3 linked regions of the Macaca fascicularis genome follow. The protein of the gene in region 1 purifies or fractionates together with the protein of each later gene. This does not show direct contact. Links are inferred from orthologs where the notes say so. Each region holds a gene or a part of one and is shown on either strand. Other genes may lie near its edges. The genes, in order: PHLPP2, USP1 and USP12.

Region 1 (10,436 bases):
TGTGAGCCACCACGCCCAGCCATGAATGACTTTTCTAGTGATATATTGTTTCTTTTTTTAGATCAATTTTTATAACCCATATTATATTGGCATACTGTTATAGAACTACGAAGCTTGTTTTGATTTTATTATTTTATAGTTATATTGTGTTGGCTATAAAATCTGCTCTGAATAAAACTGGTCCCAGTTTTAAGTAGCTATTCTATTCTTCTGCCCTTTTAAAGAGAAGTTAATTTTTTTTAGTGTCTTTTGCGTGTTTAGCAGTGTGCTATGTGCTTGGTTATTTACTTTTATCCTCAAAGCAGTTGAAGAAACCTCTGATAAGTAGCAGAGCTAGTGTGGCTACAAAAGGCCATGTCTTTTCATATCACACTGCCTCTTAAAGTTTTGTCCAGTTATTTCGAATCATTTTAAGATAACTCCTTGCAGCTGAGCGCTGTGAATCAGGCCTATAATCCCAGCACCTTGGGAGGCCGAAGTGGGTGGATTAACTGAGGTCAGGAGTTCGAGACCAGCCTGGCCAACATGGTGAAACCGTCTCTACTAAAAATAAAAAAATTAGCCTGGCCTGGTGGCACATGCCTGTAATCACCGCTACTTGGGAGGCTGAGGCAGGAGAATTGCTTGAGCCCAGGAGATGGAGGATGCAGTAAGCCGAGATCATGCCACTGTACTCCAGCCTGGCTGACAGAGCAAGACTCGTATCTCAAACAAACAAACAAACAAACAAGAAGATTACTTCCTGCATGAAGTGTTAACTTTCCATCTTTAATGATACGTGTTTTTCTTTTTTTACCTTGTACTTATGGAGACTTTTAACTTGTACCCTTGTTTTTCAAGTAGCTTATGGTTTTAGGAAAAAGTAAAAATTAACTGGTATTTATAAATGAATAATTGGATCTTATTGCCTTTTTATTTTTTCCTGTCTTTTTAATTAGTGTCTTTTTGTGTAAATGCCATTCCATTCTTTGCTGGGTGATAGACATCCAGTACTAGCTCAGAAAGCTCTTCTCTTTGACGTTATTCAGGTGGTGTCTCAGCGAATCAGTACCGTGGATCTCTCGTGTTACAGCCTCGAGGAGGTTCCTGAGCATCTCTTCTATAGTCAAGATATTACCTACCTCAACTTGCGACACAACTTCATGCAGTTAGAAAGACCCGGAGGCCTCGACACACTCTACAAGTATGTGGAGAATGGGTTTCCAGACCTGTTAAAACCAACTCATAATCAGTATCTTATGACTTCTACCTGCTGCCATTGGATGTATATTCTAAAATTTCCCCTCCCTTTTCAAGAGGAAGTAAAAATTTTTATTCATGGAGTTCTCCTACCTGCCCTTTTCCCCCATAAAACAGAAGATTGATGTAAATGTTCTGTGAGCTTCTGTTGATCTGGGTGATCTTTTCATGTAAATCATTGACACTGATGCGTGATCTGCCTCCAAGTTACATCAAGAGATTTCGTATATGGGAAATTTTTGAATTAGAAGTATAAAATTTAAATAACGTAAAGGAGATAGGCCTAATTATAAGAATTTCACTCTGAGAGATAAAGCTGTATCTTCCCTTTGTACCTTCCACTGCCAACTCTTAAGCCTTTAGTCAGCTGTGATGCTTCTCTCTTCTAATACGGGAACCATTTTAGCCCTACAGTACTATGACCTACTTGTTATTCCATCTCCTTTATTAAAATATATACCCCATTCCCACCCTCCACTCATCCCACCTCACTCCTCCACTTAAAAATGGACGCAGTGAATAAATATGTGTTGTAAGTAATTGTCTGGGCTTCTGGAGGAGAAGGTAGAAATAGGAAATTAAAGCATTCAAAGTGATTTAAATTAGATGGTGACTAAAAAGATAATATACATTAAAATTACATATTTTACATCCTTCCTTAATAGCTAATAATTCTAGAGTAATATCCAGAAAATATTGTGTTTTGTTATCTCATCTGATAATTGTTTTAGAAAGTTTTTCAAGTGTAAGCCTCTACTTAGTAATGAGGTAGTTATTTTAATAATATTGGCTTGTAAAAATGAAAACAAGCAGTAATTTTAAGGAAGTTGGTTTCTAGCATTTCTTTGTGAGTTGCTATGAAAAAGAAGTAGTCCAGTTTGAGGGCTGGATCATAAATTCTGAATTTAAAGCACCAAGCCAAAGGAATAATTAGCAGTCACGGTTAGGTCATCTGAAAATCACAAGTTGAAAATTTGACAAAGAGAAGCATTAGAGTGAGGTATCTAGAAGCAGGTGATTCTTATGTAGAAGCAAGTGCTTGATCATCATCATGGAGAACATCTCAGCCTTACCATCTTGCACTTGTATAATAACAAAACATCCTACTCCCTAGTGGAATTACCAGAGTCTCTCATAAAAAGTTCTTACTAATGAAACCTTTAACATCTTAATTATAATACAATGGATATCAAGAAGAAACCCAAGAGATCCATTTTATAACAATGCCATCTCTGGGTAAGACAATACAGATACTTCTACTTCCATGAACAAAATAGAAGCTCTAAAAGTTACTATTTTGTGTATCAGGTCACATAATGGTAAAATGCTGTCACATTCATTATTTTCAAGCTCTAACTGGTTTATTCATTTTATGTGACATTTGAGCCAACATAATTTCAGTATGAAAAAAGAAGTTGCTTATTAAAAATGGGATTTGATCTACATATTTGTTAGCTGTTGCTCTATGAGTTGATTAATTCTTGCAAGGCTTTTGTGTATTACATGTAGAAATTTAATGAAAAATTTCAAGCATATCAAGTATGATGAAATACAAAAGAATTATACCAGCATGAGCTGTTCTTCAAGATTGTCTACCTTTTTAAAGAGAAAAGAGAGCTGTAATGCTAGACCTGGTTTCCTTCATCACATGGACTGTGCATTAGTCATCTTGGTGTCCTCTGTCCCCACTCAATGTTTGATGTGTAGCGAGTGCTCAATAAGTATTTTTGGAATAAATTCTATTATAGACATTTAAAATGGATTATCAAAGGCCATTGATGTCCCTCGTAAAGATATAGTAATAGATGTATTGAAATGCAGTATCCATTTTTGCCTTTGCTCTTTAGATTTTCTCAGCTGAAGGGCCTGAACTTGTCCCATAATAAACTTGGGTTGTTTCCTATATTATTATGTGAGATCTCTACCCTGACTGAGCTCAACCTTTCCTGTAATGGATTTCGTGACCTACCAAGTCAAATTGGCAATCTGCTAAAGTAAGTAACTTTTACTAGATTCATCTTTTCCCTTGCAGGATAAGGAACTTGCCTGGGGTTTGGAATGAAGGTAGTACTGTGAGCTCTTGCAGTGAAATAAATCATGTACTTACTAGGATTCTAGTCAGCAGCAGTTTTTGACATCATAGATCTACCTGCCTGTAGCAGGGACTGATCCCTCAGCTTCAACAGCAGAGGTCTTAACTCTTTTAATGTTGGGGTGACCATTTGTGTAAGTTATGTGTAAGTCATCTATTAAGTCTGTATAGATGGAGAGTTAGGACACTACTATTTTTGGATTGATAATTAGTGACATAAATCAGAATCCGTAACTCTGATTCTATGCATTCCAGTGAAACCTTCCATAAAGTAGACTTGTTTTGTTTTCTTCCTGTAGTCTTCAAACCCTCTGTCTTGATGGCAACTTTCTGACTACTTTACCTGAAGAACTGGGAAATCTACAACAGCTTTCCTCTTTGGGAATTTCGTTCAACAACTTTAGTCAAATTCCTGAGGTTTATGAGAAACTCACTATGTTAGATAAAGTGGTTATGGCAGGAAATTGCCTGGAAGTCCTGAACTTAGGGGTGCTGAATAGGATGAACCATATCAAGCATGTGGATTTAAGGTAAGGTTATTCTTTACCGCAGCTTCCTTTAAATTGACTCTGTTGGACCTTTATGTCTTCTCTTTATGAAGATTTGTTTAAGACATTAGGGTTTTTAAAATTTTGTTGTCGTTGTTTTGAGACAAGGTCTCACTTTGTCACTCAGGCTAGAATACAGTGGCACGATCTCAGCCCACTGCAGTCTTGACCTCCTGTTCTCAGGCGATTCTCCCACCTCAGCCTTCCAAGTAGTTGGGACTTCAGGTGCGCACCACTAGGCCTGGCTAATTTTTTTTCTATTTTTAGTAGAGACAGGGTTTCACCATGTTGTGCAGGCTGGTCTCAAATTCCTGGACTCGAGCAGTCCACCCACCTCAGCCTCCCAAAGTGCTGGGATTACAGGTGTGAGCTGCCATGCCTGGCCCGTAACATTAGGTGTTTTGAACAGTATAGAAATGTGTATTTTCAAAGGTATAGTAAGACTTTAGTTATCATTCAGTAGCAGAGAGATTCAGGATCATGTAGTTGTACCATGTGATAGAGACTATCAAATTGCCTTGGACAGAGGTTGTTTTTGCTCACCTTCCCATCAATGTATATTTTTTATTTTTTAAATTTTTTGTAGAGATGGAGTCTCACTGTGTTGCCCAAGCTGGTCTTGAACTCCCTGGCTCAAGTAATCCTCCTGCCTTGGCCTCCTAAAGTGTTGGGATTACAGGTGTAAGCCACTGTGCCCAACCCCTCCAACATTGTAGGAGAATTCCCATTTTCTCATATCTTTGTCAGTGTTGGATTTTAGCATTTCTTTTTCTTTATCATCAGTCTAGTAGATTGAAACAAGTATTTCATTGTTTTAATCAACATTTATTTACAGAGCAGTGAGGTTGAACATCTTTTTATATGTATGTTAGTAGTTTGTAGATTTCCATAAATGACATTTTTCTGTTGAGTCATTAGGTTTCTTCTTGATATCCATTGTATTACAATTAAAATGTTAAAGGTTTCATTACTAAGAACCTTTTATGAGGGTTTTATTTTCTAGTCATAACCTTTTCCTAATTGAAGCTGGTAAAAAGACACCTATTGGGTGTTCTGTAATTTACAGTAAACCATTGATGACCTTGTAAAGACAGTAACAGAGAGTTTTTGTTTTTGTTTTTTTAACCACACTGGAGACTTGAGAGATTTATAGAAATACAGGAAAGTGAGAACAGACCTGCATAAATTAAATCATATACTTGTACAGAAAAGAACTCAGAGGTCATTTTGTATAATTTACCTTTGAACTCTTCGGTATATGTGTGTGTGTGTGTATATATGTGTGTGTGTATATGTATATATACATACACAGATTATTTCCTTGTCTGTTAATTAATTTTATGTGAACCTTAGCACTAGAGATAGAGCAGGCATAGCAATAGGAGGAAGTATGGTTCTATCCTTATACTCTGGACATGGTACTGTTGTGACTGTTTTGCTACTGTCTCACTCAAAAGGTTGTGTTCATCTTCCTGTTCCTTTGTCCTACTTAGTGCCCACCTGACCTTATTAGGTGTTTGGATATAAGTGTTTAACTTGTTCAGGATATGGCCTCTTTTTTCCTTCTCTTTATTAGTTTGTATATGTATTTGCCAATCTGGATTGTCTGACTTAGCTGTACCTTGAGTTATTCATCAACTGTAGTTATTTATATAGTATCTTGCAAAATGAGGCAAGTAGTGAAATTCTTAAATTGTTTAGGAAACAGAGAAAGGGAGCTGGGCACGGTGGCTGACACCTGTAATCCCAGCATTTTGGGAGGCCGAGGTGGGCAGATCATCTGAGGGTAGGAGTTCAAGCCTGGCCAACATGGTAAAACCCCATCCCTACTAAAAATACAAAAAATTAGCTGGGCATGGTGGGGGTGCCTCTAATCCCAGCAACTTGGGTGGCTGAGGCAGGAGAATCACTTGAACCCGGGAGGCGGAGGTTGCAGTGAACCAAGATCACGCCATCGCACTCCAACCTGGGCAACACAGCGAAACTCCATCTCAAAACAAAAAGAAAAGGAAACGGAGAAAGGGATCATGCCTGTCCTATTTTTTATTCTGGTAAGCACATTTAATAGACTCTTGTTTCTGATTATTTTCTTGTTTCTGCATATTAAGGATGAACCATTTGAAAACCATGGTTATTGAAAATCTGGAGGGAAATAAACACATCACCCACGTGGATCTGCGGGACAACCGACTGACTGACTTGGATCTTAGCTCCTTATGCAGCTTGGAACAGCTGCATTGTGAGCGGAACCAGCTGAGGGAGCTAACACTCAGTGGCTTCTCCCTTCGGACCCTCTATGCCAGTTCCAACAGTGAGTTTTCTATCCAGCCTTTTGTTTTTTCTCTTTCAGCTGTTGTCAGTGCTTTTTAAGAACAGTGGCATCTGTGGTGTTCCTCAGCCACTCTGCAGGATGGGGTTTGTGGCTCATTGAGGCAAAACTTTATCTTTTCACTTTGCTGTCAATACTTAAGTGGTTGCAGTGTGCATAAAAAGACATGGCAGGTTACTTTGAGCTTTACTAATTGAGCATAATAAGAGGCATTCCACAGAGTAGTGGTGGTGGGGAGGTGGGCAAGCATGTTCAAAACAGAGCATCAATAATGGTCTAAAACGGGTTGGCAAACTATACCCCAGGACTGCATCTGGCCTGCCACCTCTTTTTGTATGGCCCATAAGGAATGGTTTTTACATTTTTCTAATGGCTGGGTTAAAAAAAAAGTCAAAAGGAGAATTTTGTGACTGAGCATGGGGGCTCACGCCTGTAATCCCAGCACTTTGGGAGGCCGAGGTGGGCTGATCACCTGAACTCATGAGTTTGAGATTAGCCTGGGCAACATGGCGAAACCCCATCTCTGCAAAAAATACAAAAATTAGCCAGCATGGTGGCATACCTATGCTCCTAGCTACTCGGGAGGCTGGGGTGGGAGGATCACTTGAACCTGGAAGGCAGATGTTACAGTGAGCTGAGATCATGCATGCCATGTGTGTTCTCATTAGAGAACTGGGTGAGACTTGTGAGACCCCATCTCAAAAAAAGAAAGAAGAATAATTTTGTGACATGTGAAAATTACTATGAAATTCAAGTTTCTATGTTTCTAAATGAAGTTTTACTGGAATGCAGCCACAGTGGTTTGTTTGCATATTATTTATACATTCTTGCTCTTGTGCTACAGCGGCAGAGTTGAATAGTAGTAAGAGAGACTGTCATATGGTCCACAAAGCCTAAAATGTTTACTGTTCAGCCTTTTACAGAACAAGTTTGCCAATTCGTGATTTAAAAGCTTGTGTAGCCTCAGTGCTAGAATGAGAAGCCCCTGATTTCAATAGTGATTTGCCCTAAGAATATTTTTCAATGAAAAGGTCCTCATATTTGTTGAGGCCATTCTTTTTATGGAAAGTTCTTTACCATTCTTTACTTTCAGTATGTGTTTAAGGAAGGAAAGGAAAATAGGTTAAATTTTACTGTCAGAAAAAGTGCAAATTTAAATAACGTTTTATACTCATCAAATTTTTTTAAAAAAAGGTAATTCTGAGTGTTTCCGGAGGTGAGGAGAAGCATCTTTCTGAGCACTCACACACTGCCAGTGAGAGGTGACTGGTAAAACCACCCCAGAAAGCAACGTGACAGTGTTAGAGATGTCGAGACCCACACATACCATATTCTAGAAGTTCCCTGCTTGGGATATATCCCAGAGACACTCACATGTGCAAAGGAGATATATACCAGATTGTTTATCACTTTTTGTGAGCACGAAAAAGTAGAATTTTGAGATGGAGTCTAGCTCTGTTGCCCAGGCTGGAGTGCAGTTGCCTGATCTTGGCTCACTGCAACCTCTGCCGCCCAGTTTCACGTGATTCTCTTCTCTTAGCCTCCTGAGTAGCTGGGATTACAGGAGTGTGCCACCATGCCCGTCTAATTCTTATGTTTTTAGTAGAGACACGGTTTCACCATATTGGCCATGCTGTTCTTGAACTCTTAACCTCCAGTTAGCTGCCCACCTCAGCCTCCCAAAGGGTTGGGATTACAGGCGTGAGCCATTGCACCTGGCCTAAAAGTAGGATTTTTAATAGGAAAATGGGTAAATCAGTAGTGATATATTTATGCAATAGAATATTGCACAGCAATGGAAATGAATGTACTAAAGCCTTGTATGGTAATATGGATAAATTGCAAACTTTTTTTTGAGCAAGGAAAAGTACATAATTAAATGTATGTTGTGATAGTTATATCAAAATTTAAAACACAGAAATACTGTTTTCTTAGCTAAAAGTATGCCATTAGTATGAAAGAATACATAAGAGTGATGAAAACCATATTCAGGATGATGTTTACCTCTTGGTATGTGTGGTATTTTAATTATTTAAAAAAAAAAAGTCTGGGCTGGGCACGGTGGCTCACGCCTGTAATCCCAGCACTTTGGGAGGCCGAGGTGGACGGATCACCTGGTGGATCAGGAGTTCAAGACCAGCCTGGCTAACATGGTGAAACCCTGTCTCTACTAAAAATAGAAAAGATTAGCCAGGCGTGATGGCGCGTGCCTGTAATACCAGCTACTTGGGAGGCTGAGGCAGGAGAACTGCTTGAACCTGGGAGGTGGAGGTTGCAGTGAGCCAAGATTGCACCACTGCACTCCAGCCTGGGCAACAAGAGCAAAGCTCAGTCTCAAAAAAGAAAAAAAAAAAAGGTCTACAGCATATAAAGCAGAATGTAGATTTGTTAAAAGCTATATGATAGGTGAAAGAGGGTTCATTATTTTATTCTCTTTATTTTTCTATATCTGTAAACTAGATTATACAGATAAAAGTTGAGGACTTCTATTTGCATTGCCTTTTATTATGTTATAGAAGCTTCAAATTATAGCTTAGATTAATTGCTTGGTCAGAAGAGTGTTAAAACTGGTGAGTGTTGACTTATGCTGTTTATAGATGCCTGACATTGTAGTAAGTCCTAGCCGTGGAGATTTTTGTTATCAGGCCCATCCCTATCCTTAATGTGTCTAAAGAGTCTGAATTCCAGGCCGGGCGCGGTGGCTCAAGCCTGTAATCCCAGCACTTTGGGAGGCTGAGACGGGCAGATCACGAGGTCAGGAGATCGAGACCATCCTGGCTAACATGGTGAAACCCCGTCTCTACTAAAAAAATACAAAAAACTAGGCGGTCGCCTGTAGTCCCAGCTACTCCGGAGGCTGAGGCAGCGTAAACCCGGGAGGCGGAGCTTGCAGTGAGCTGAGATCCAGCCACTGCACTCCAGCCCAGGCAACAGAGTGAGTTTCCGTCTCAAAAAAAAAAAAAAAAAAGAAAAAAAAGAGTCTGAATTCCTGGCCTTACTGGAAAAGACCTCATCAACAGGCATGCAGTCCCAAATATTTACTCTTTGTAAATATTTAAGTATTGACAAATAAATTAAGTATTTTAATAGTATTTAAATACTTAAATACATAAAAACTTGCAGTTTTGATGCCTCAAAGTCAAGAACTCTGCTTTACAGAAAGAAATTATCTAAATGTGATCAGTTAATATAGGGAAAGCACTGAACTTGACTAGTCATCAGGGATATGCAAATTGAAACCCCTATGTGGCACCACTACACACCTACCAGAATGACTAGAATGGACTAAAAATCCCAGGGGCAGCTGTTGGAGTGTAAATTGGTATAACCACTTTGGAATACTGTTCAGTAGTATCTCCTAAGGTGAACAGAAACATACCCTCTACCTAGCAGTGCCTCTTCTAGGCTTGTGCTCAAAATAAGGACTTATATTAGTTCACAAAAGACATGGACAAATATTTTCATAGAAGTACTATTCATAGTAACTGCAAACTGGAAAAGACTTACATGTCCATCAACTCTAAAATGGGCAAATAAATTGTGGCATATTCACATAAAATAATTTTATACAGGTATGAGAATGAATGAACTATAATTATATGCAACTGTATAAACAAATCCTGTAAACATACTGTGGAGTGAATGAAGCCAGAGAAGTAAATTATACATACTGTGTGCATATATTTATGTAGATAGACAGAAGTAATTATACCTACTGCTTGCATATATTTATGTAGACAGGCAAAAGTAATTTGGTACTTGGTCAGGATGATGTTACCCTTGAGGGGCAGTGACTGGAAGGGGAAACATGGGGCAGTTTCTGGGGAACTGGTAATGTTCTGTTTCTTGATGTGGGTGTTGGTTCCATTAGTGTGCTCAGTTTGTGAAAATTTACTGAATTGTTGCACTTTTCTGTATTTATGTTATACTTCAATTAAAAGTTAAAATATTTCCTGTTAACGTTTAACTACTGCTTAACCTTGTATAAAGGCAGTGCAGTACATAGGATTCTTCAATTAGCTGTTACATTTGTTTTTCAAGACAAAGTGGGATCAAACAGTTAGTCAAAGTGAGTTTTCAGTAGTTTTTGTCTTTAACTCATTTTAGTAGAAGACATCAGTTTTCTTTCTGGTGATTTCACTAAGCTACTTTTCCCTTGTCAGCTCTCAGTTACTTTCTTTTTTAGAGGATGTCACTAACACCTGTTTGTTTATGGATTAGGGCTGAC
Region 2 (10,436 bases), on another chromosome or scaffold:
GGTCTTGCCATGTTGCCCAGGCTGATCTTGAACTCCTGGGTTCAAGCGGTCCACCGGTCTTGGCCACCCGACCTGTTTTTTCTTACATTATAATACAGCCAGTCCATCAGTAGAGCTCGTTGGCTGTGCTCAAAATGTATCTTGAACCCACCAGTTTTCAACATCCCACCGTCTTATTCCCGACTACCATAATTTATTCCTTGGCTTATTGAAGTAGCATCTTGGCTGACCTTTCTGCTCGTACTTTTTTTGTTTTTTTTTTGAGACAGAGTTTTGCTCTTGTTGCTCAGGCTGGAGTGCAGTGTGGCGATCTTGGCTCACCGCAACCTCCGCCTCCCGGGTTCAAGCGATTCTCCTGCCTCAGCCTCCGGAGTAGCTAGGATTACAGGCCTGCGCCACCACGCCTACCACCACGCCCGCCACATTTTGTATTTTTAGTAGGGACGGGGTTTCTCCATGTTGGTCAGGCTGGTCTCCAACTCCCGACCTCAAATGATCCGCCTGCCTCGGCCTCCCAAAGTGCTGGCATTACAGGCGTGAGCCACCGCGCCCAGCCCTGCTTGTACTCTTGAAGGTCAACGTGTAATCCCACCACTCCCCAGCTCAGAATAATCCAACGACTCCCATCTCCTTACTCGGCTTACCCAGGGTCCTGCCTGTCTCACTCATCTCATCTCCTCCCATCTTCTTTCCCAAATTCACTGTGCTCTAAGCGCCCTGGCCTCCTTGCTTCTTTTCAAAACACCAAGCGCATTAAGCTTCAGGACGTCTGTAACTTGCTGTTCTCTCTGCCCGCACCATTCTTCCCCCAGATTCCTCCAAGGCTCGCTCAGCTTTCATTCAGCTCTGCTCAAATGTCAACTCAAAGAGATCTTTCCAGGCTATTGTACCCATCACTTATTTTAGTGTCACTTATGTCTCCGTCTCCAGAATGTAATGCTCCTTTATGACAGGGAATGCCTTTCATCCCTCGCGCCTTGAAAAATGCCTGGCACATAGTAGGCACCTTAAAAATACTTGATTTAAATGGATCTGGGCTGAACGTATCCTGCTTAATTGCAGCACTTGACCTGAGGTCACCTCATCAGAGCAAGCACACAAACACAAAAGGAAGCACAACCAGATGAGGCCTGCCTGCCGCTCCTGAACTCTTTGGGAGGGCTCGCGCGGGAACCCTGGGAAGCTCCCGCGGCCGGAGCTGGGCCTGAAACTGTTCTTTCGTTTCCTCCTGCGGCCGAGAAGGGGAGGGGTAAACAGGAGAAAATGAGGCGAGTAGGGGCTGAGGAGTGGGCCTCAGCTCTACAGCATTCGCCTGAGAATGTATCGTTATCCGTGGCAGCGCCTTGTCTCATTGGATGGCCCTAGGCCTAGTGTGGCCGCGACTCCAAACCGAAAGCCCGGGTGAAGCCCCGGCATGCAGCCAGGCAGCCATTTTCCGGAGCGGCTCTCTCGGTCACCCCGCCCGGGCGCGTACGCACGAAGGGAGGCGGGGCTTGCCGCGAGGGCCTCGCTCCGGAAGCCGCACCCTCCGCGGCGTCCCACCGTCGAGGATTAACAAAACGCCAAACAAGATTTCAACAGTCGGCAGCGAAAGCGCGCACTCGAGCGCCAATGAGAGCGGAAGGAGGGGCGCCGTGCCTGAGGAACACTCCGTATGTCGAACAATGATTGGCTGGAGCCCACCTTTCTTCTTTTTTGCTATTAGAGGGACTTGCTGCTCCCGCCCTTCTAATTGGCTTTGGTCTAGGTACTTCTGATTGGTTTCCCCCGGGCGGTGGGAGGCGCGGTTTTGGGGATTGTTCATCATGGATTGGTGAATTTGGGCTCCTTCTCTAGGCGGTGGCCCGTCCCGTCTGCTCTCTGTCCCGTCTCCCGACCCGTACGCGTTTCCCTCAACTCGCGCGCACGAATGGTTAAAAAAAGGGTGTGAGGCTCGAGCCCGCCAGCCAGGCCGCTAGCACCTCGCGCGCGCCCTTAGCGAGGACCCGCACGAGCTGCCCGGCTCTCTGCCTGCGCTGTTTGAAACTGTGGAACCCGTTAGGCTCTTGGGGAGCTACAGTCCCAGCTGGCTCTGGAGCCCGTGCGTGCCGGGGGCGAGTGACCGTCGCGAGACGGCTCCTGCCTTTCGCGTCTCTGCAGCGTGGAGACTGGAACCGGCAATTTCAAAGGACGCCACGTTCAATCGCAGCGCTGGCGCGGGCGGAGGCTAAAACACGGGGGTCCTGAGACTGAGGAAAACGCGCCAAGTTCCCCTCGGTGGCGGAGTGCGAAAGACCCTAGCGGTTCAGGCGCTCGGCGAGCGGGGCTGCTGCTTGTTGCGCTCCTGGCTATCCCGGGGCGGGCGCGGATAGGCGCCGCTCCGGGGATGTAGTTGGTGCCGGTGCAAGGCGGGACCGAGCGGCGGTCGGGGTTCCCGCTCTTGGGAGCGGATGGTCACTCCCCCGCGGGGAGGGTGATCCGACCAGATTTTCCTGGGGCCGGGGGGACCCGGCGGACTCGGAACAGGGACTCACCTGTCGCACCCACACTCATTCGGGTTGGACTTGCCGGCGTCACTGCCGCGGACCTCGCTTTGGGCCATGACCAGGTAAGGAGGGCCTGGGAGGAGGGGCCGGCGCCCCGGCGCGGGGGCAAGTTCGGCCGGCGCGGGAGAGGAGCTGCCGGGGAGACCCCCGGGACCGTGTTGGCCTCGCACCCTGGTCGAGCTGCCAGCGGGAGCCTTGTGTGCCTCGGGCGGGGCGCCTGTCTTGCCGCCGCCGGGACGCGAGAAGGCAGGTGCGGGCTGGGCGTAAATAGGCCAACTCCGCGGCGAGGGCGCCCGGCGCGGGGGTGTGGGCCGAGAACGCCGCCGCCAGCCTCCCCCGGCCCGGCAGCCTAGTCGCTGCTGGTTCTTCCAGCTTCCTTTCCGTTCCCGAGAGCGGTGAAGGTTGGGGAGAAAGAAACGTTTCCACGCAGGTTGCCCTGGATCGGTCAGTAATTGCGAAATTTTACCGCGCATTTTCTTTCACTTACACTTTTTCCAGAAGTGTTTAGAACGCCGCGTCTTAAACCTTGGCGAAGATGTCCTTGTATATTTTTCTTGAAAAATCGGAATCGAGTCGTGTCATCTCAAAAAGAATTTAAAACTGTTGGGACTGAGTATTCACGCTGTCAACAGATAATGGTCGTTTCGTCGTGCTTTCTGCGAAAGTTGACTTAGTTACAGGAGAAATATTTTGCATGTAACAGCCCCCCCCAGTTATAAGGAAAGCCAGGAGCAAGAAATAATAGCACGGAAGATACTGCACCTGGCAAAATGTTACATTCTCGGTGTGAACATTGCTTTGAGGGACTAGGAGGTTTGGTTTGTTGATTAAGCTGACGATCCGCTATTTCACCTGCCTAATCATTCTTCCCTCCTGTGAAGTCTGGTTACTCTGTCGGTTTGAGATCCAGTTTCTGTCATCCATTAGAATTGGCTCTCGAGAAAAACATTTTATCAGAATCATTAATGCTTGGCGATCCCTGAGAACTTAGCGTAGGTTAGTTTGTCATTTAGAAGACAGCGCTTCCTCAGAAGCATTAGGTGAAGCATTAGGTGGATAGGAGAGTAAGTGAAGTTGGAGACAGAATGGGGAGATTGATCAGCTTTTCCAGTTCTTCCTGACTTGGGTCTTAAAAATGGTTTCAGTGCTGAGTTTAGTGTGAATTCCTAGATCAGTGTCAGCCACGTGAAATGCTTATTAAGGATGGAATTTGAGTGAGTTTTGTGTAGTTCATTTTATTACTCTGCATTTTAAATTTGAAACTCGTTGCTGAAGTTTTGGGCTTTAAGTAATTTTATTATGGTAATACTCTAGTTAGATAATTTTTCCTCACATGTCCTGAAAAATAGGACTGATGTAGAAAATATTAGTAACTCCTACAAATGTTGCCATATTTTTTCCTGTGAAAGTTTTGCTTTAAAACAGGGTGGGAAAGTTGCAAATGGCAAACCAAATCATCTTTTTTCCTACTCAAAGCACTATTTTTGGAATCCTAAGTTTTAAAAAAAGTTTGGAAAACGAGTATTGTGATTTCTGGCTCATTAAGAATTGGATTTACACAAAGTGCATCCAACAGTGTTTTGTATCACTGTCTCAACTTTGCATGTGTTTTATTATTGAAAGATAATAAAACTTTACGGTTTTAGGTATATCTTAACACCATCTCTATGCCTTGAATGCAAATTATACTTTAATAAACTTTTTAGGTACTTTATTTTCATGTATTCATGTTAATAACTAGAAAAGGCATTGGAAGAGAGGACTCATTATCGTCCAGCACTACTTTGATTTTCCATTCATCCTTTCCATGTACTTGAGAATTAGAGGTGATAGTGCTCAATTTTTCTGAATGAATTATTATAATGAAATATTAAGTTTTTACTACTTACACTACTTTACTGTAGGTCTGCTAAATAGGATATTTTGTAATGCGACCCTTAATCCATAGCAGACTGATTTTAAAAATTCAGTAGCTTCTATTTTTTGTTCTTTAAGAATAGTGTGGTAAGCTTTTTCATTTAAGCAATAAATATTGAGTGCCTATTGGCAGGCATTAGGTTTTCAAATATTAATTTCTAATTTGTACCATTCCCTTGGTAAATTTGTTTTCAAAATTGATGATTTTGTTGCCTAAAACTGATAACCGAAAACTAATGAAATTTTTTCTCTGTGATTAACAGATATAATTGATTACAACTTTCCTCTATAAATTAATTATTGACAACTCCTTGGGATTTGAGAAAAAAATGCCTGGTGTCATACCTAGTGAAAGTAATGGACTTTCAAGAGGTAGCCCATCAAAGAAAAACAGACTTTCCTTAAAGTTTTTTCAGAAAAAGGAAACTAAGAGAGCTTTGGATTTCACAGATTCTCAAGAAAATGAAGAAAAAGCTTCTGAATATAGAGCATCTGAAATGTATGTATCTTACATTTCTGTACTTTAAAAATTCTACAGTGAAGCAGCAGTGAACTTGGTTGACACCTCCACTCTGACTTGATAGTCTATAGAGGCACAAAAAAGTACACTTCAGTGTACTTCTTAATAAGTCAAGTCTAGCCGTTTATAGTAGGAACAGCAAAACTGGTGGTTCCCCATAGGGATCACATCCATAATGTTTAACTCATGAACACTGTGCTCAGCCATGTAGACTAACTTGGAGAAATATTCATAGATTAAAATTGTCTTTCTGAGTTTAAATTTATTTGTCGTGCAAAACATTTGTGTAGGGGTAAAAGGTTATATATATATGTATATATATTTGTTTGGTTCAGAAGACTTGACGGTTATAAGACATTTTAAACTGTAGTCATGTGACTAGTCATACCTGTTGGAGGCATACGATTGCAAATTATAGAAATAAACTTAAAAATAAGTAATGCTTTTGATGCAAATAAATTCTTTAGCTACAGAAAATAAATCAGAACAAAGTGAAATACTTTATTCCACCACCAGCAGCTCTAGCTGGAGTCTGTACTGCTTCCCTGTTTAACATATAGTCACTCTGCTGGGTGACTAAGGTGGATTTGGTCCCATGTGTTAATTTCCAATAGCTATCAATAACCAGTTGAGGAGATTGTTTGAGAGTGAACCTTTTGTTTATCAGCATTCATACTTCTAAATACTTTGAGGTGCTGGAGTAATAATAGCTAGCAATTGTAAAATAAAATACTGGGAAGACCTAGTGGGTTTTTTTTTGTTGTTAAAGAAGTAAAAGAATAATAATGTATTTATTTTTTGAGACGGGGTCTCCTTGTGTTGCCCAGGCTGGTCTTGAACTCCTGGGCTCAAGCAGTCCTCTAAAGTAGCTGGGATTACATCTCAGTGCCACCACACTCACCTTCTGAACATTTTATTTTTAAGTGAGAGATAGCTAAATAATTTTTTTTTTTTTTGAGACAGTCTTGCTCTGTCGCCCAGGCTGGAGTGCAGTGGCCGGATCTCAGCTCACTGCAAGCTCCGCCTCCCGAGTTTACCCCATTCTCCTGCCTCAGCCTCCCGGGTAGCTGGGACTACAGCTGTCCGCCACCTCTCCCGGCTAGTTTTTTGTATTTTTTAGTAGAGACGGGGTTTCACCGTGTTAGCCAGGATGGTCTCGATCTCCTGACCTCGTGATCCGCCCGTCTCCGCCTCCCAAAGTGCTGGGATTACAGGCTTGAGCCACCGCGCCCGGCCATATAATTTTCTTCATAGACTTTCTTTTCCTTGAATTCTTATTAATATAATCTTTCTTAGTTCAGCCTCTCCCAAATATTGCCATGGTTAATTTATTCCCAGGTTTCTGTTCAGTTACACTACTTGATTAAAATGTCAAAGTAGGTAAAACAAATCACAGTCTCTCAGTTCCTCAATTTTTTGCTCTGTAAAATAGGATTAACATCCTTTTAAGGGAATTGTTCTGTGGCTTGGTATGTGTAATAATGTTTTAAAAACTTTCATTCTGGGCATATAGCAGTTTTTGAGCCTGTATTTCTTAAAATGTCATCTGAACAAGATTCACATACTTTTCAGATTATACAACTTTTGGGAAAAGACTAAATCTATGGAAGTAATATTTTCACCTTGTTTCTTTGAGATAACTACTTGATTATCTTTTCCCCCTTCTATATTTAATAGTGATCAAGTTGTTCCTGCAGCACAGTCTTCACCTATAAACTGTGAGAAGAGAGAAAACTTGTTACCATTTGTGGGACTGAATAATCTCGGCAATACTTGCTATCTTAATAGTATACTTCAGGTAAATTGACAGTTTTGCTATATAACAAAACTTTAGTAGGCAAAGAATAATGTAACATTTAATGTTTCTGAGTTATTGGAGGACTTTAATGTCCATACTGTCTTTGCCTTTGATTGTAAATGAACCAGAACAGGCTAAAATAATACGTTGCATGTTGTTAAACTTGCTTTGGGATAAGAGAAAGTGATAGACTAAATAAAGGTGGGATAGCAAAATTGAGTAGACCTTAAGTGGAAGTTCAAACCTTTAATTTCTTTCTCTGATTGCTGGTGCTACAGTAATACGTATCTTATCCCTTGGAAATAACGTTGGCTTTGTGTTGTGTGTTCTTGTAACCTTAAAGTCTTAGCAATATCTGCCCAGACTCAGTGCTTTGTGCCAGTGAGGGAATACACTGGGCTACTACTGATGAAGTGGAGAACAAATTTTGACACAAAACTTAATCTCAGAATTTTAGGTACTACACATTAAAAGGGCCTATAGAAAGCATGATGTTGTTTTAATGATTTTACGTATATTGTTCAGTGAACACTTAGACAGTCTCACTTTTTATAGGTATTATATTTTTGTCCCGGTTTTAAATCTGGAGTAAAGCACTTATTTAATGTTATTTCAAGGAAGAAAGAAGCTCTAAAGGATGAAGCCAATCAAAAAGACAAGGTAAGAACAGTAACAGAAAATAATGTAAAAAGCAAAAGTAAATTAATGGAAATTTACTTGCCTGGAAATGAAGAGACTGCGGGGGTGGGTGACAAAGATTATTTCTCTGTTAACGAACTATTGTCAGGCAATTATTTTTCATTCTTTCAAGGTAGCTAACTAGATAATTCCCTTTTACAGATTGTTTGCTCCTGTAATATGTGTATCAAACTTTTGTTACTTGTATACTATACATTATTGTGTACTATAATCACAATATGTCACACCCATGTACAACCTATTTACCCATTGTGTTTTCAAATTGACTTAAAATTTAAGTAACTACACAGTATTTAAAGAAATCTTTGACTTCCATAATTAAAAAACCATTGTAAGTCACATAAATAGTAATTCAAAAATTCCTCTTAAAATTACAAAAAAAGACGAGGCGTGGTGGCTCATGCCTCTAATCCCAGCAGTTTGGGAGGTGAGGGTGGGTGATGGATCGCTTGAGTGCAAGATTTTGAGACCAGCCTGGGTAACATGGCAAAACCCTGTCTCTACTAAAGATATGAAAACTAGTAGGGCGTGGTGGTGTGAGCTTGTAGTTCCAGCTAATTGGGAGGCTGAGGTGGAGGATTGCTTGATCTCAGGAGGTTGAGGCTCCAGTGAGCTGCGATCAAGCCACTGCATTCCAGCCTGGGTGACAGAGACCCTGTCTCAAAAAAATAAAAAATAAGGCTTATTTGTATATCCTTTAAAATTAGTGCTATAATGCAACTTAGAAAACCTAGTATTCTTAAGTGAGACACAGACAAAGGGGGAAGGTACTTAATTTGTTCATAAAATTATTGGTTTGTGTGTTTCTTTCTTGACAGGGAAATTGCAAAGAAGATTCTTTGGCAAGTTATGAATTGATATGCAGTTTACAGTCCTTAATCATTTCGGTTGAACAGCTCCAAGCTAGTTTTCTCTTAAATCCAGAGAAATATACTGATGAACTTGCCACTCAGCCAAGGCGACTGCTTAACACACTCAGGTATAGCCTATAATATAATTTTAGGGTTTCAATTTAACTACTTGTTTATATCCTTGGAGGAGAATGGTATGTGAAGAAACAGGAATAAAAGGGCAAGGAAAGTAGAAACTATAGGTCCACAGTCCTTTGTATCTCAGAGGCTCTGAATACTGGAAATTTTTTTCATATATTTGGTGCTAAATTTGTTAGATTTGAATATATTATATGAGGCTTTTTATAGTCATTCATATTTATCTCTAATGTGAATATTCATACATTCTTCTATAGAAGTAGTAATGTATTTAATTATAGAGTACTCCCATATCATGTCGGTGATAAATATTTTACTTATATGCCATATTATCATTGCATCTGAAAATGTCTGAATTTCTAAATGTGTGGTCCTAAGGATTTCACATTAGGAATTATAGGACTATATTCAAAATATGTGTAAGAACTGTAAATTCTAAATATTCTATTTTTGTTATATGGGATTAGAGAACTGTTGGCTAACTGGATTAGATTGCTTTTTGGTATTTTCTTAAAAATGAAACAATATATAAAATAGCCTTATTCAAATAAAATTATACTAATAGGGCAAGTCTTTAAAACAATCACTTAAGCATTCAGTTTAAAAATAGAACTAGGTGCAATTTATTGCTATACCTTAATTAAGAGGTATTGTAGGCCAGTCACAGCCCACACTTGTAATCCCAGCACTTTGGGAGGCTAAGGTATGTGGGTCATTTGAGGTCAGGAGTTCAAGACCAGTGTGGCCAACATGGTGAAACCCCGCCCCTACTGAAAATACAAAAATTAGCTGGTCGTGGTAGTTCGCACCTGTAGTCCCAGCTACTCAGGAGACAGAGGCAGGAGAATCGCTTGAACCCGGGAGGAAGAGGTTGCAGTGAGCCAAGATTGTGCCACTGCACTCCAGCCTGGGCAACAGAGCAAGACTCTTGTCCAAAAAAAAAAAAAAAAAGCTATTGTAGCGTGGTGGCCAAGAGCGTGCTGATTTGAATACTGGCTTTTCATCCTAAGTAGTTCTGTGATCTTGGGCAAGTTAATTAACCTCTCTGTGCCTTAGTACCTATATCTGTAAATAGTGGGGATAATAGTACCTCATAGGGTTATTGTGAAGATAATGTATACATAGATAAAAAAACATTTTGACTAAAACCTGGTATATGGTAAGCATTATCTAAGTATTAGTTATTATATTTAGAAGAGGATCAAGGTATTATAATGAAAGTAGGGTACAAGTTACTCTTTTAGTTACAGGTAAGAAATTCCAAATTAGTGCTGAATAAATGTCTTGAGATTTAAAAAATGAAATAATTTATGATTTTCCTTACATGAATTAATTTCTATATAGATTTTATGTACTGTATCTTCAAAACTAGAATAGATGAAATGGAAATTTTTATTTATAGGGAACTCAACCCTATGTATGAAGGCTATCTACAGCATGATGCACAGGAAGTATTACAGTGTATTTTGGGAAACATTCAAGAAACATGCCAACTCCTAAAAAAAGAAGAAGTAAAAAATGTGGCAGAATTACCTACTAAGGTAGAAGAAATACCTCATCAGAAAGAGGAAATGAGTGGTATTAACAGCATGGAGATGGACAGTGTGAGGCATTCTGAAGACTGTAAAGAAAAACTCCCAAAAGGAAATGGGAAAAGAAAAAGTGACACTGAATTTGGTAACATGAAGAAAAAAGTTAAAGTATCCAAGGAACACCAGTCATTGGAAGAGAACCAGAGACAAACTAGATCAAAAAGAAAAGCTACAAGTGATACATTAGAGATTCCTCCTAAAATAATTCCCAAGTGTATTTCTGAAAATGAGAGTCCAAGACCCTCACAAAAGAAATCAAGAGTTAAAATAAATTGGTTAAAGTCTGCAACTAAGCAACCCAGCATTCTTTCTAAATTCTGTAGTCTGGGAAAAATAACAACAAACCAAGGAGCCAAAGGACAATCTAAAGAAAATGAATATGATCCTGAAGAGGAC
Region 3 (10,977 bases), on another chromosome or scaffold:
GAGGATTTTAAAAGTATTCAATTATTTAGGTTTAACTGTATGTACTCTTAAAGAAAAATGTGATGTCTGATTTCCTTAGAAATGGTAGTTTCTTTAAATTTTGCAATTTTGGAAGTTTAAGAAAAACCAAACCACTTACTATTTTTAAAAGTGCAAAGTTGTGTGAGTTTAAAAAATTCATTTCTTACAAGGAGGAGGGGCCACCCTTTCCCAAGAAGCGATTGCTAGAAAGAGTTGGGATATGTGTGTGTGTTTATTGCCAGACATTACCTGTGCATATACAAACGAGGTATTGTGTGTGTGTCACATGCACACACAGTATTTAAAACTGCAGGTTTATTTGTTTTACTTGATCTTTCACTTAACATATAGTGTACATTTTTGGTTGTCATCATGTTTCATTCCATGTCAAAACTCTTGTGTGCATTTTAATTTCCCATGATCTTCAGTGTCTATCATATTGAAAAGTTTGGTTGTATAATACTGTTTGCACATTTTCATTTTATTAAACAATAATTTTATTGGTTTCCTAGGGCTGCCATAACAAAGTACCAGAAACTGTGTGTGTGGATTATAATACTATATTGTTACTGTACCTTTTCTATGTTTAGATGTGTTTAGAGACACGAATACTTATCGTTGTGTTACAGTTACCTCCAGGATCCAGTACAGTCGTATGCTCTACAGGTTTGTGGCCGAGGAGTAAGAGGCTAGACCACATAGCTTAAGTGTGTAGTGGGCTATACTATCTAGGTTTGCGTGAGTACACTCTGTGATACACGCACCGTGATGAAATTGCCTGACAATCAATTTCTCAGAATGTATCCCTGTCATTAAGTGATGCATGCCTGTAACATAAATTCATCATCTTACAATTCTATAGGCTAGAAGTCCAGAATCAGGATGTCGACAGGGTTGGCTTCTTCTGAGGGCTGTGAGGAGACTCTTCCATTGTCTGTCCCCGCTGCTGGTGGTTTGCTGGCGTGCGGATGCATCATTCCAATCTGTTCACATGGCTTTCTCCCTGTGTCTCTGTCTCCACCTTGTCTTCCTTCTATGCCTATCGGTGTCCGAATTTTCCCTTTTTACACAGGCACCAGTCACACTGGATTAAGATGCACCCTAGTGACTTCATTGTAACTTGATTACTTCTGTAAAGACCCTATTTCAAAATAAGGTCACATTCTGAGATACTGGGGCTTAAGACTTAAATGTATCTTTATTAGGGAACACAATTCACCCAGTAAAACTAATGGCACAATCGGGTCCATTGCAATCAATGTCAAGGAGTATTCATTAAGTTGGGTTATGTGCTAGACACTAGAGATGCAAAACTGTTTAAGTTCCAAAGGGCTGGCCGTCTAGTTGGGGTGACCAACTTTGTGTATAATAATGTAGGCTGATACAAACTTGATAAGCTGTATTTTGATGTGTACAGGGAAGACAGACTGGTATTTGGAGTGAGGCCTGGATCAGCTGGAGAAGGAAGGCTTTTGGGAGTGGTGGGGAGGGAAGCTTCGTGGAATTTGAAAGGTAACTTGGAGAAAAATGAAGAGGACAGAGGACCTGGCAAGGAAGCGAGAAGTGAATTAAAACAACAAGAAAGAAAGAAATAAGGTTAAGTGATTAAAATTACTTACATGGTTTAATGTTTCAGGAATTTTGTCCTCAAACTTGTTAAGTTGATTAGGTTTATATAGATTTAGGCAAAAATCTCCTATAAACTTGTGGTAGTTTTTTTTTAAAAAAGGCATGTATATGTTGTTAAAAATCACATTTGTAGCTTACAGAACTCATTTTTGCTAAAAATGAGCTAATGAAAAGCACTTCTGATGCAGCAGGTAAAGGAAAGTGGGAGAGATCGTACCTAGAACATCCACTTTTCTTTTTCCCAAAGTAATGATGGGGAATTATGTACACCTCTATATAATGACGGGATTAGGTATACCTCTGTATGATCTTAGGTCCATTTCAACTACAGCGTTCTGTTTTGTAGCTTAATGTCTCTAAAACTTGTCAAGCAAAAAGGGATCAGAAGTGGTTTTCTAGAAAATTTATTGAAAAAGCCTGGGCGACAGAATGAGACTGTCTCAAAAAAAAAAAAGAAAAAAGAAAAAGAAAATTTATTGGAAAAAAAAAAAACCAAGAAAACATGATTACTTTAGCGAAAATAACTGTTACACAGAATATTTTTTGTAACATACCTGCTGTGAAGAAACCTCACCAATGTCAGTATTTACATTTCAGATTACTTTGTTATTATTAGTTCATTTTTTCCAAACAAAAACTGTAAAATCTATGAGGTGGGCCTGTAGGGAGGAGTAGTCTGTTTTACAGCTAAGGAAATGAACAGACTCCGGTGACTTGATTTTAGGATTCTGCCTGAGACCTCTCCATATTTAGTTTAGTGCTTTTGCCGCCGGATCATGCTGTTACTAATGTAGCTGTAGATGCTTCTTCCCCCTAAAGACAACCACAAAATCATTTTCTGTCTCTCTCTCTCTCTTTTTTTTCTTTTTTTTTGAGACGGAATTTTGTTCTGTCACCCAGGCTGGAGTGCAGTGGCGTGATCTTGGCTCACTGCAGCCTCCACCTCCCAGGTTCAAGCAGTTCTCCCTGCCGTAGCCTCCCGAGTAGCTGGGATTACAGGCGCCTGCCACCATGCCTGGCCAATTTTTGTATTTTTTTAGTAGAGACGGGGTTTTGCCACGTTGGCCAGGCTAGTCTCAAACTTCTGACCTCAGGTGATCCGCCCGTCGTGGTTTCCCAGAGTGCTGGGATTACAGGCATGAGCCACTGCCCCCAGCCTCTCTCTTTCTTAATACTCATAAATATCCAATCATTGTTGAAATTAGCTGATTGTCTCAAATGATCGTGGTTGGATCCATAATGTTCGTTATGTTTTGTCACTATATCTCTTAAATGTGGATCCCTCTTTCTTTTTTATTACAGTTTATCTTTTGAGGAAATCAGATTGTCCCATAGCTTTTTTTCATTTTCTGCACTTTGCTGATTGCATCCCCTTTGTGATGTTTAACGTGTTCTTCCATCCTGTATGTTTTCTGTAATTTGGTAGATCAAGAGGCCTGATCCAGATTCCTTGATCTTTTATTTTTTTTATTTTTTATTTTCCTTGCAGAAGTTGGTGTACAAGTGGTGGTGGAAAAACATAGGTGATGTGTACTTCCGGGTTGCAGGGGAATGTGGTGTCTCTTTATAATGATGAGGCTGGCATTGTCAGAACGACTCTTCTGTTATGGAGCTGCTGGCAGCTTTTTACCTAATGATTTTTAGCAACTGTTGATAATCATTGCGTAGATCCAGTGTTTCATTAGGGCTTCAGAATATAGTTTTAACTGCTTCTATAGGTTTTTTTAAGAAATATTTTTAAAAACATTGAAAGAGAATGTACATCTATTCTTTGTTGTATTTGAAGCTACACAGAAATAAACTTTTTACATTTTCAGAATATTTTCATAGTTGTATTCCCAAAATCATACATTTAGGCAGGCTAAAGTTTACAGATTAAGTTGAACCTTTTCCACACCTAGACTTAATTTTGTGATATTACAAGTGAATGAGTACATGAAGTTCTAACACATTTTTGCATCTGAACTATAATTAATAAGATTTAGCTGATTATACACTAAAACTTAACTAAGTAGTTTTTCTTTTGTTTTCCATTTTTTAATATGTTCCACCTCAGGGTTATATATTTACTGCTGCTATGCTTTAAAAAAAGCAACTTCAAATTCTTAAGCACAGGATTCTGAAAATTAGATGAACTAACCAGATACAGTTACTTTAATTTTCAGATTTTAGGGATATTAGAGTGCATTTATTTCTATTTGTTTTTCTATTTATAATGTTTAAAATGGACCAATTTGTGTGTGCATTAGTTTCCAATGAGGCTGTAACATATCACCATAAGTTTAGTGGCTTAAAATCACACAAATTTATTATTCTAAAGTTGTGGAGGTTGCCGGACGCAGTGGCTCACGCCTGTAGTCCCAGCACTTTGGGAGGCCGAGGCGGGTGGATCACAAGGTCAGAAGATCGAGGGCATCCTGGCCAACATGGTGAAACCCCATCTCTACTAAAAATACAGAGAATTAGCTGGGCATGGTGGCCTGTGCCTATTGTCCCAGGTACTTGGGAGCCTGAGGCAGGAGAATTGCTTGAACCTGGGAGGTGGAGGTTGCAATGAGCCATGATTGCGCCATTGCACTCCAGCCTGGGCGACAGAGCGAGACTCTGTTTAAAAGAAAAAAAAAAGGTTGTGTGGGTCTGGCTGGGCTGAGACCAAGGTCTTGGCTGGACTGTGTTCTTTCCTGGAGCTGCAGGAGGGACTGCTGCTTTGCCTTTGCCACCTGGACGCGGCCCTTGCCTTTTGGATCCTGGCCCCTGCAGCATCTTCAAAGCCAGCCATGACTGGCCAGTCTTTCTTTCATTACCTCCCTCAGACAGGGACTGTCCTGCTTCCCTCTTTCACTTACAAGACCCGTGTGATTACATAGGGCTGACCTGGGTAATCTGGGATAATCTCTCAAGGTCGTTTGATTTTAGCAACCTTAATTCCTTCTGCAACTTGAATTCACAGGTTCTGGGGATTAGGATGTGGACGTTTTGAGGGAGGCAGTTATTTTTCTACTACCACAATATGCACATTTTTTTTAGCTTTAAAAAATATATTAGAGGTGAAAATCAATTCGAGATATGCCTTTAATGCATTTTGGGTTGTGGTGAAAGATTGGGAAGAAGTTGAGTGGGTTTGTAAACATATACCTTTTGTACTAAGTGAACATTAAGAGGTGGTTATCTGTTCTAGTTTTGGAAGTAAAAGAATTTTTACTTCAGGTACTGTTAGCACACTACCAATCTCAGCAGGAGAAAAGTAAAGATGCAGTGGAACATTCAGGAAAATTAGCTACCAATACTTTTACAACTTTTGATGAGTAAATATAGGCTTGGTAGCATGAGAGGTTATGAAAATGGATGAAATGAATAAAAGCTGTACTACATGGCCTTGCTCAACAGAGCATATGTAAAATGTATTTTAGGATTTTAAGATTAGATCAGAACCTTTTATATTTACAGTATAGTAATTTAAATGATGGTTGGGCTTCATTAAAAGATAATCTTGGAGGTTTGGAGAGAAGGCCTTAGGCTGTGTGCTTCCTAAGAAAGAAAGGGCAGAAAAGGGCAACTGTGACATTTTCTTAGGCAAAGTGGAAAGATGTGGAAATTTCTGTGGGTGATATTAGTAGAATTTTAGTAGAGTGAAATAGATTTTTAATGGTTAAAGATAGTATCAGAAGAAGCTCTAATTTGAGGATTGCCAGATCTCAAAATATTTTTGTTTTGAAGTTTATTAAACGACTGCCATAATTAGATTTGATACCTCAGTAAACTTACGAGAAATAGGATGAAACATAGAACCTGGACTTCTAGGGACTTCGTTTTTCTCATTTTGCTTGTAAGTCTGAAGAAAACCAACAGAGCAAGAGAGGCTAAGAAAAGAGACATGGTAAGGAGACAGAAAAGAATAATGAGTGAATATTGGTGTATGGGCTGTGCTGGGTTAACTATTAAGTATGAGTGATTCTTACTCTTAAGGAAGATACGTCTTTTTGGGGAAATGAGCCTTACATGCACATCCAACAGAACAGTATCAGAAAAGTGGGTGTATGAGCTCCATGAGGGTGATTTGTGGAAGGGGAAAGGTTGAACATTTCATTCTCAAGTACTAGCAGGATCTGTAACTCTAATGTACCGATTAATGGATTATAGCACAGCTTTTTATTGTTACAGAAGTGACATATCCACTCTTGCCATTCCCATTTTTGGAGTTTATTGTTACTAGATTTCATAGTACTTGAAACTGGAAAATATTTCTATTTCATTACTATGTTTTTGTATGCATATGTATATATGTTTTATCTTAAAAACAAAATTTATATTGAAGATGTTAAAAGTGAATTTGAGTTTTGGACCTTAAGCTTTATTTATTTACTTATTTTTTTCTGAGACAGAGTCTCATTCTGTTGCCCAGGCTGGGGTGCAGTGGCATGATCTTGGCTCACTGCAACCTCTGCCTCCTGGGTTCGGGTGACGCTCCTGCCTCAGCCTCCCAAGTAGCTGAGATTACAGGTGCCTGCCACCACACCTGGCTAATTTTTGTATTTTTTAGTAGAAAGAGGGTTTCACCATGTTGGCCAGGCTAGTCTCGAACTCCTGACCTCAGGTGATCAGCCTGCCTCAGCCTCTCAGAGTGCTGGCATTATAGGTGTGAGCCACCACGCCTGGCCAGGACACTGAGCTTTAAATGTCAGATATAAACAATTCATCAAAAGAGACTCCAAGTTGAGACGGAGTCTTGCTCTGTCACCCAGGCTGGAGTGCAGTGGTGTGATCTTGGCTCATTGTAAGCTCTGCCTCCTGGGTTCACACTATTCTCCTGCCTCAGCCTCCTGAGTAGCTGGGACTACAGGCGACCGCCACCATGCCCTGGCCAATTTTTTGTATTTTTAGTAGAGACGGGGTTTCACCGTGTTAGCCAGGATGGTCTCAGTCTCCTAACCTGGCGATCCGCCTGCCTCAGCCTCCCAAAGTGCTGGGAATACAGGCGTGAGCCGCCGCACCTGGCACAAACTCTTTTTTCATAAAACAGCTTTATTGAGATATAATTCACATACCATACTAGTCATCCATTTAAAGTGTACAATTTAGTGGCTTTTAGTATATTGATAGAGTTTTGCATTTATCACCACAGTCAGTTTTAATCACCTGAAAGATACTTTATACCCTTTAGCTATCATCTCTCTCCTCCTCCTTTTCTTTCCCTCCCCCTTCCAGCCCTAGGCAAACCAACCACTGATTGACTTTATGTGTTTATATAATTTTCTGCTTTGGACTTTAGTATATGGAATCATAGAGTATATGGTTTTTGGCACTGTTTTCAAGGTTCGTTTATGTTGTGATATGTATTAGTAAAAACTCTGAAAACTACAAAATATTGCTAAAAGAAATTAAAGGAAATCTAAACACAGAAAAAAAATACCATGTTCACAGACTGGAAGACTTTAACACTTAAAATGGTAATACTCCACAAACTGATCTACAGGCTCGATGACATCCTCATCATGGCTTTTAATGGACAAATACTGTTCCATTGTGTGGATATACTACATTTGTTTATTTGTTCATTAATGGACATTTTGGCCATTTCTACCTTATGGCTATTTTGAATAATACTAATGTAAACATTGGGGGTGCAAGCTTTTTATGCACATATGTTTTGTTTTCCCATGTGTCTGTACTTTGGAGTGGAATTGCCATTTAATCTTTTGAGGATCTGCCAGATTGTTTTCCAAAGATGCACCATTTTATGTTCCTGCCAACAGTGTATGGCTGTTCCCATTTCTCTGCATCCCCATTGGTACTTGTTATCTGACTTTCTGATTGTAGCCATTCCATTTTGGGTGTGAGGTGGTATCTCATCTCATTGTGGTTTTGATTTGCATTTCCCTGATGAATAATGATGTTGAGCACCTCTTTATGTACTTATTGGCGATTTGTGTATCTTCTGTGGAAAAATATCTATTTGCATTCTTTGGCTGTTCTTTGAGTTGTCTTTTAATTGTTGTAAGAGTTTTTTTTGTTGTTGTTTTGTTTTTGTTTTTTCAAGACAGGATCTTGCTGTGTTACTCAGGCTGGAGTGTAGTGACATGATCATCCCTTGCCACTCCAGTTCTCAAGTCATCCTCCCACCTCAGCTTCCGGAGTAGCTAGGAGTACAGGTGCATACCCCTATACCTGGCTAATTTTTTACTTTTCGTAGAGATGGGTTCTTGCTATGTTTTGCCCAGGCTGGTCTTGAACTCCTGGCCCTTGGGATCCTCTTGCCTAGTCCTCCCAAAGCACTGGAATTACAGGCATTAGCCACCCTGCCTGGCCTTGGTGTAAGAGTTCGTTATATATTCTGGATACAAGTTTCTTGTTAGTTATGTCATTTGCTAATATTTCCTCCCATTCTATGGGTTGTCTTTTCATTTTCTTGAGGGTGCCATTTGAAGCACAAAATTTAATTTTGATTTTGATGAAGTCTAATTTATCTAATTTTTTTTTCTCTTTTCCTTTTTTTTTTGGAGGCAGAGTCTTACTGTGTCACTGGATATTGGCTCACGGCCACCTCCACTTCCTGTGTTCAAACAGTTGTGCCTCAGACTCCCGAGTAGCTGGGATTACAGTTGCGTGCCACCATGTCCAGCTGATTTTTTTGTATTTTTAGTAGAGATGGGGTTTCGCCATGTTGTCCAGGGTGGTCTTGAACTCTTGGCCTCAAATGATCTGCCCACCTCGACCTCCCAAAGAGCTGGGATTACAGGTGTGAGCCACAACGTCTGGCCTGAGTTTTTTCTTTTGTTGTTCATGCTTTCGGTGTCATATTCATATTTTATAATCCTTTGCCAAATCCCATGTCAATCCTTTGCCAAATCCAATGTTTTTCTTTTAAGAGTTTTCTGGGTGTTGCTGTTCATATACTTCTTTGATCTATTTGGAGTTAGTTTTTTGTACATGGTTTGAGGTAAAGGTAACTTCATTCTTTTGTATGTGACTGTCCATTTGTCCCAGCGCCAGTTGTTAAAAAGACTATTCTTTCTCTGTCGTTTGGAGTTGGCACCCTTGTTGAAAATCATTTGACCATAGATGTATGAGTTTCTGGATCCTCAATTTTATTTCATTGATTTGTATGTTTGCCTCTCTGCCAGTACCACACTGTCATGATTGCAATCATAGCTCATTGCATCTCGTACTCCTGGACTTAAGTGATCATTACACAGGTGAGCCACTGGGTCCGACCTCCATATGAATTTAGAATCAGCTTGTCAGTTTCCATAAAAGTAGCTGGGATTCTGATGGGGATCTCACTGAGCCTGTAGATCAGTTTGTGGAGTATTGCCATTTTAAGTGTTAAAGTCTTCCAGTCTGTGAACATGGTATTTTTTTTCTGTTGTTTAAATTTCCTATAATTTCTTTTAGTAATATTTTGTAGTTTTCAGAGTTTTGAAACTCTGAAATGTTTTTCTCTTTTATATGTCTTTCTCTTTTTTTGTTAAATTGATTCCTACTTATTTAAATCATTTTGAATGCTATTGTGAATGGAGTTGTCTTATTTTCATTTTCAGATTTTCAGGATAACCTTATATAAATGCAGTTAATTTTTTGCTTTTATTATTTTAAATTGACATAATTGTACATATTTGTGGGATATAGTGTGATATTTTGATACATGTATACAATGTGTAATGATCAAATTGGGAAATTAGCATATCCATCACTTCAAACATTGATCATTTCTTTGTGCTGGGAATATTCAAAATCTGCTCCTCTATCTATCTGAAAATATACAATAAATTGTTGTTAATTATGGTCACCCTGCAGTGCTATAGAACAGGGATCTCCAGCCCCTGATCAGTGGCCTGTTAGGAATGGGGCTATGCATCAGAAGGTGAGTGTCCAGTGAGCAGCATTACTGCCTGAGCTTCGCCTCCTGTCAGATCAGCAGTGGCATTAGATTGTCAGGATTGTGAACCCTGTTATGAACCGCGCATGCGAGAGATCTAGGTTGCACACTCCTTATGATAATCTAATGCCTGATGATCTGAGAACAGGTTCCTCCTGAAACCATCCCCCGCTAGTCCATGGAAAAATTGTCTTCCACAAAACTGGTTCCTCATGCCAGAAAGATTGGGGACTGTTGCTGTGGAACACTAGAACTTACTCCTCCTATCCAGCTGTAATTTTGTATTCATTAACCAACCCTTGGCTACTCCTCCCACCCCCCACATCTCCAGCCTCTACTCTAGTAACCACTATTCTACTCCATAGTTTTATGAGATCAATACAATTGATTGCTGTGTATTAATTTTAGAACCTGCAACCTTGCTGAACTCATTTATTCTAGTAGTAATTTTTTAGTGGATTCTTTAGGGTTTTCTGTATATGAGATCATGTTACATACAAATAAAGATAGGTTTACTTCTTCCTTTCAAATTTGGTTGCCTGTTTTTCCAACTGCTCTGGCTAGAACCTATGGTACAGTATTGAATAGAAATTAACAAGAGGGAATTTTCTTGTCTTTTTCCTAATCTTAGGGGAAAAGCATCCAGTGTTTTCACTGTTAAGTAAGATATTAGCTGTGAATTTTTTATAGATACCTTTTGTCAGATTGAGGAGCTCCTTTCCTCTTTTATTTTCTTAATTCCGTCAGTTAACCTTTTCTTTTGTTAAGAGGGTATTGCTCTGTTGCCCAGGTGAAGTGCAGTGCTGTGATTTTGTCTTACCGCAACCCCTGCCTTCCGGGTGAAAGCGATTCTTCCATTTCAGTCCCCTGAGTAGCTGGGACTACAGGCGTGTGCCACCACGCCTGGCTAATATTTTGTATTTTTGGTGGAGATGGGGTCTTGTCATGTTGCCCAGGCTGGTCTTGAACTCCTGAGCTCAATTGATCTGCCCTCCTCAGCGTCCCAAAGCATTGGGATTACAGACATGAACCATTGTATTCTGCCCGTAAATACAATTTTTACTGTATTCAGAGAGGAATTCTTTTCTATTTCTGTCATGTTGAGTGTTTTATCATGACAAGGTGTTGGATTTTGTCACTTGATTTGTGTGTGTGTGTGTGTGTGTGTGTGTGTGTGTGTGTGTGTGTTTGTATTAAAATGATTCTGTGATTCTGGTTTTTTTATTCAATTGATATTTTATGTTAGCCCATTTCAGCCTACCTCTTCTGTGCTGTTACTATTTATAATATATATATATAAATTTATTGTTTATTTATTTATTTATTTAGAGATGGGGTCTCACTCTGTCACCCAGGCTGGAGTGCAGTGGTGCTATCTTGGCTCACTGCAACCTGCGCCTCCTGGGTTCAAGCAATTCTCCTGCGTCAGCCGCTGAGTAGCTGGAATTACA

The links.
Region 2: the proteins of PHLPP2 (region 1) and USP1 purify together in Homo sapiens (affinity purification with mass spectrometry; 3 studies listed by BioGRID and IntAct, with this or other methods). This does not show direct contact. The link is inferred for Macaca fascicularis from reciprocal best matches to the Homo sapiens genes PHLPP2 and USP1.
Region 3: the proteins of PHLPP2 (region 1) and USP12 purify together in Homo sapiens (affinity purification with mass spectrometry; 3 studies listed by BioGRID and IntAct, with this or other methods). This does not show direct contact. The link is inferred for Macaca fascicularis from reciprocal best matches to the Homo sapiens genes PHLPP2 and USP12.

Annotation. Positions count from the first base shown.
Region 1 is NC_088394.1:68,690,271-68,700,706, forward strand, and holds part of PHLPP2 (PH domain leucine-rich repeat-containing protein phosphatase 2), read left to right. Parts: intron 1-1,028; coding exon 1,029-1,183; intron 1,184-3,086; coding exon 3,087-3,233; intron 3,234-3,630; coding exon 3,631-3,861; intron 3,862-5,987; coding exon 5,988-6,190; intron 6,191-10,429; coding exon 10,430-10,436. UniProt on the Homo sapiens protein: Protein phosphatase involved in regulation of Akt and PKC signaling.
Region 2 is NC_088375.1:172,259,838-172,270,273, reverse strand, and holds the start of USP1 (ubiquitin carboxyl-terminal hydrolase 1), read left to right. Parts: upstream 1-1,488; 5' UTR 1,489-1,747; intron 1,748-2,180; exon of another isoform or gene 2,181-2,587; intron 2,588-4,705; 5' UTR 4,706-4,771; coding exon 4,772-4,941; intron 4,942-6,639; coding exon 6,640-6,760; intron 6,761-7,315; coding exon 7,316-7,420; intron 7,421-8,277; coding exon 8,278-8,438; intron 8,439-9,850; coding exon 9,851-10,436. UniProt on the Homo sapiens protein: Negative regulator of DNA damage repair which specifically deubiquitinates monoubiquitinated FANCD2. Also involved in PCNA-mediated translesion synthesis (TLS) by deubiquitinating monoubiquitinated PCNA.
Region 3 is NC_088391.1:7,175,821-7,186,797, reverse strand, and holds the start of USP12 (ubiquitin carboxyl-terminal hydrolase 12), read left to right. Parts: upstream 1-5,297; 5' UTR 5,298-5,425; coding exon 5,426-5,527; intron 5,528-10,977. UniProt on the Homo sapiens protein: Deubiquitinating enzyme that plays various roles in the regulation of the immune response and inflammation.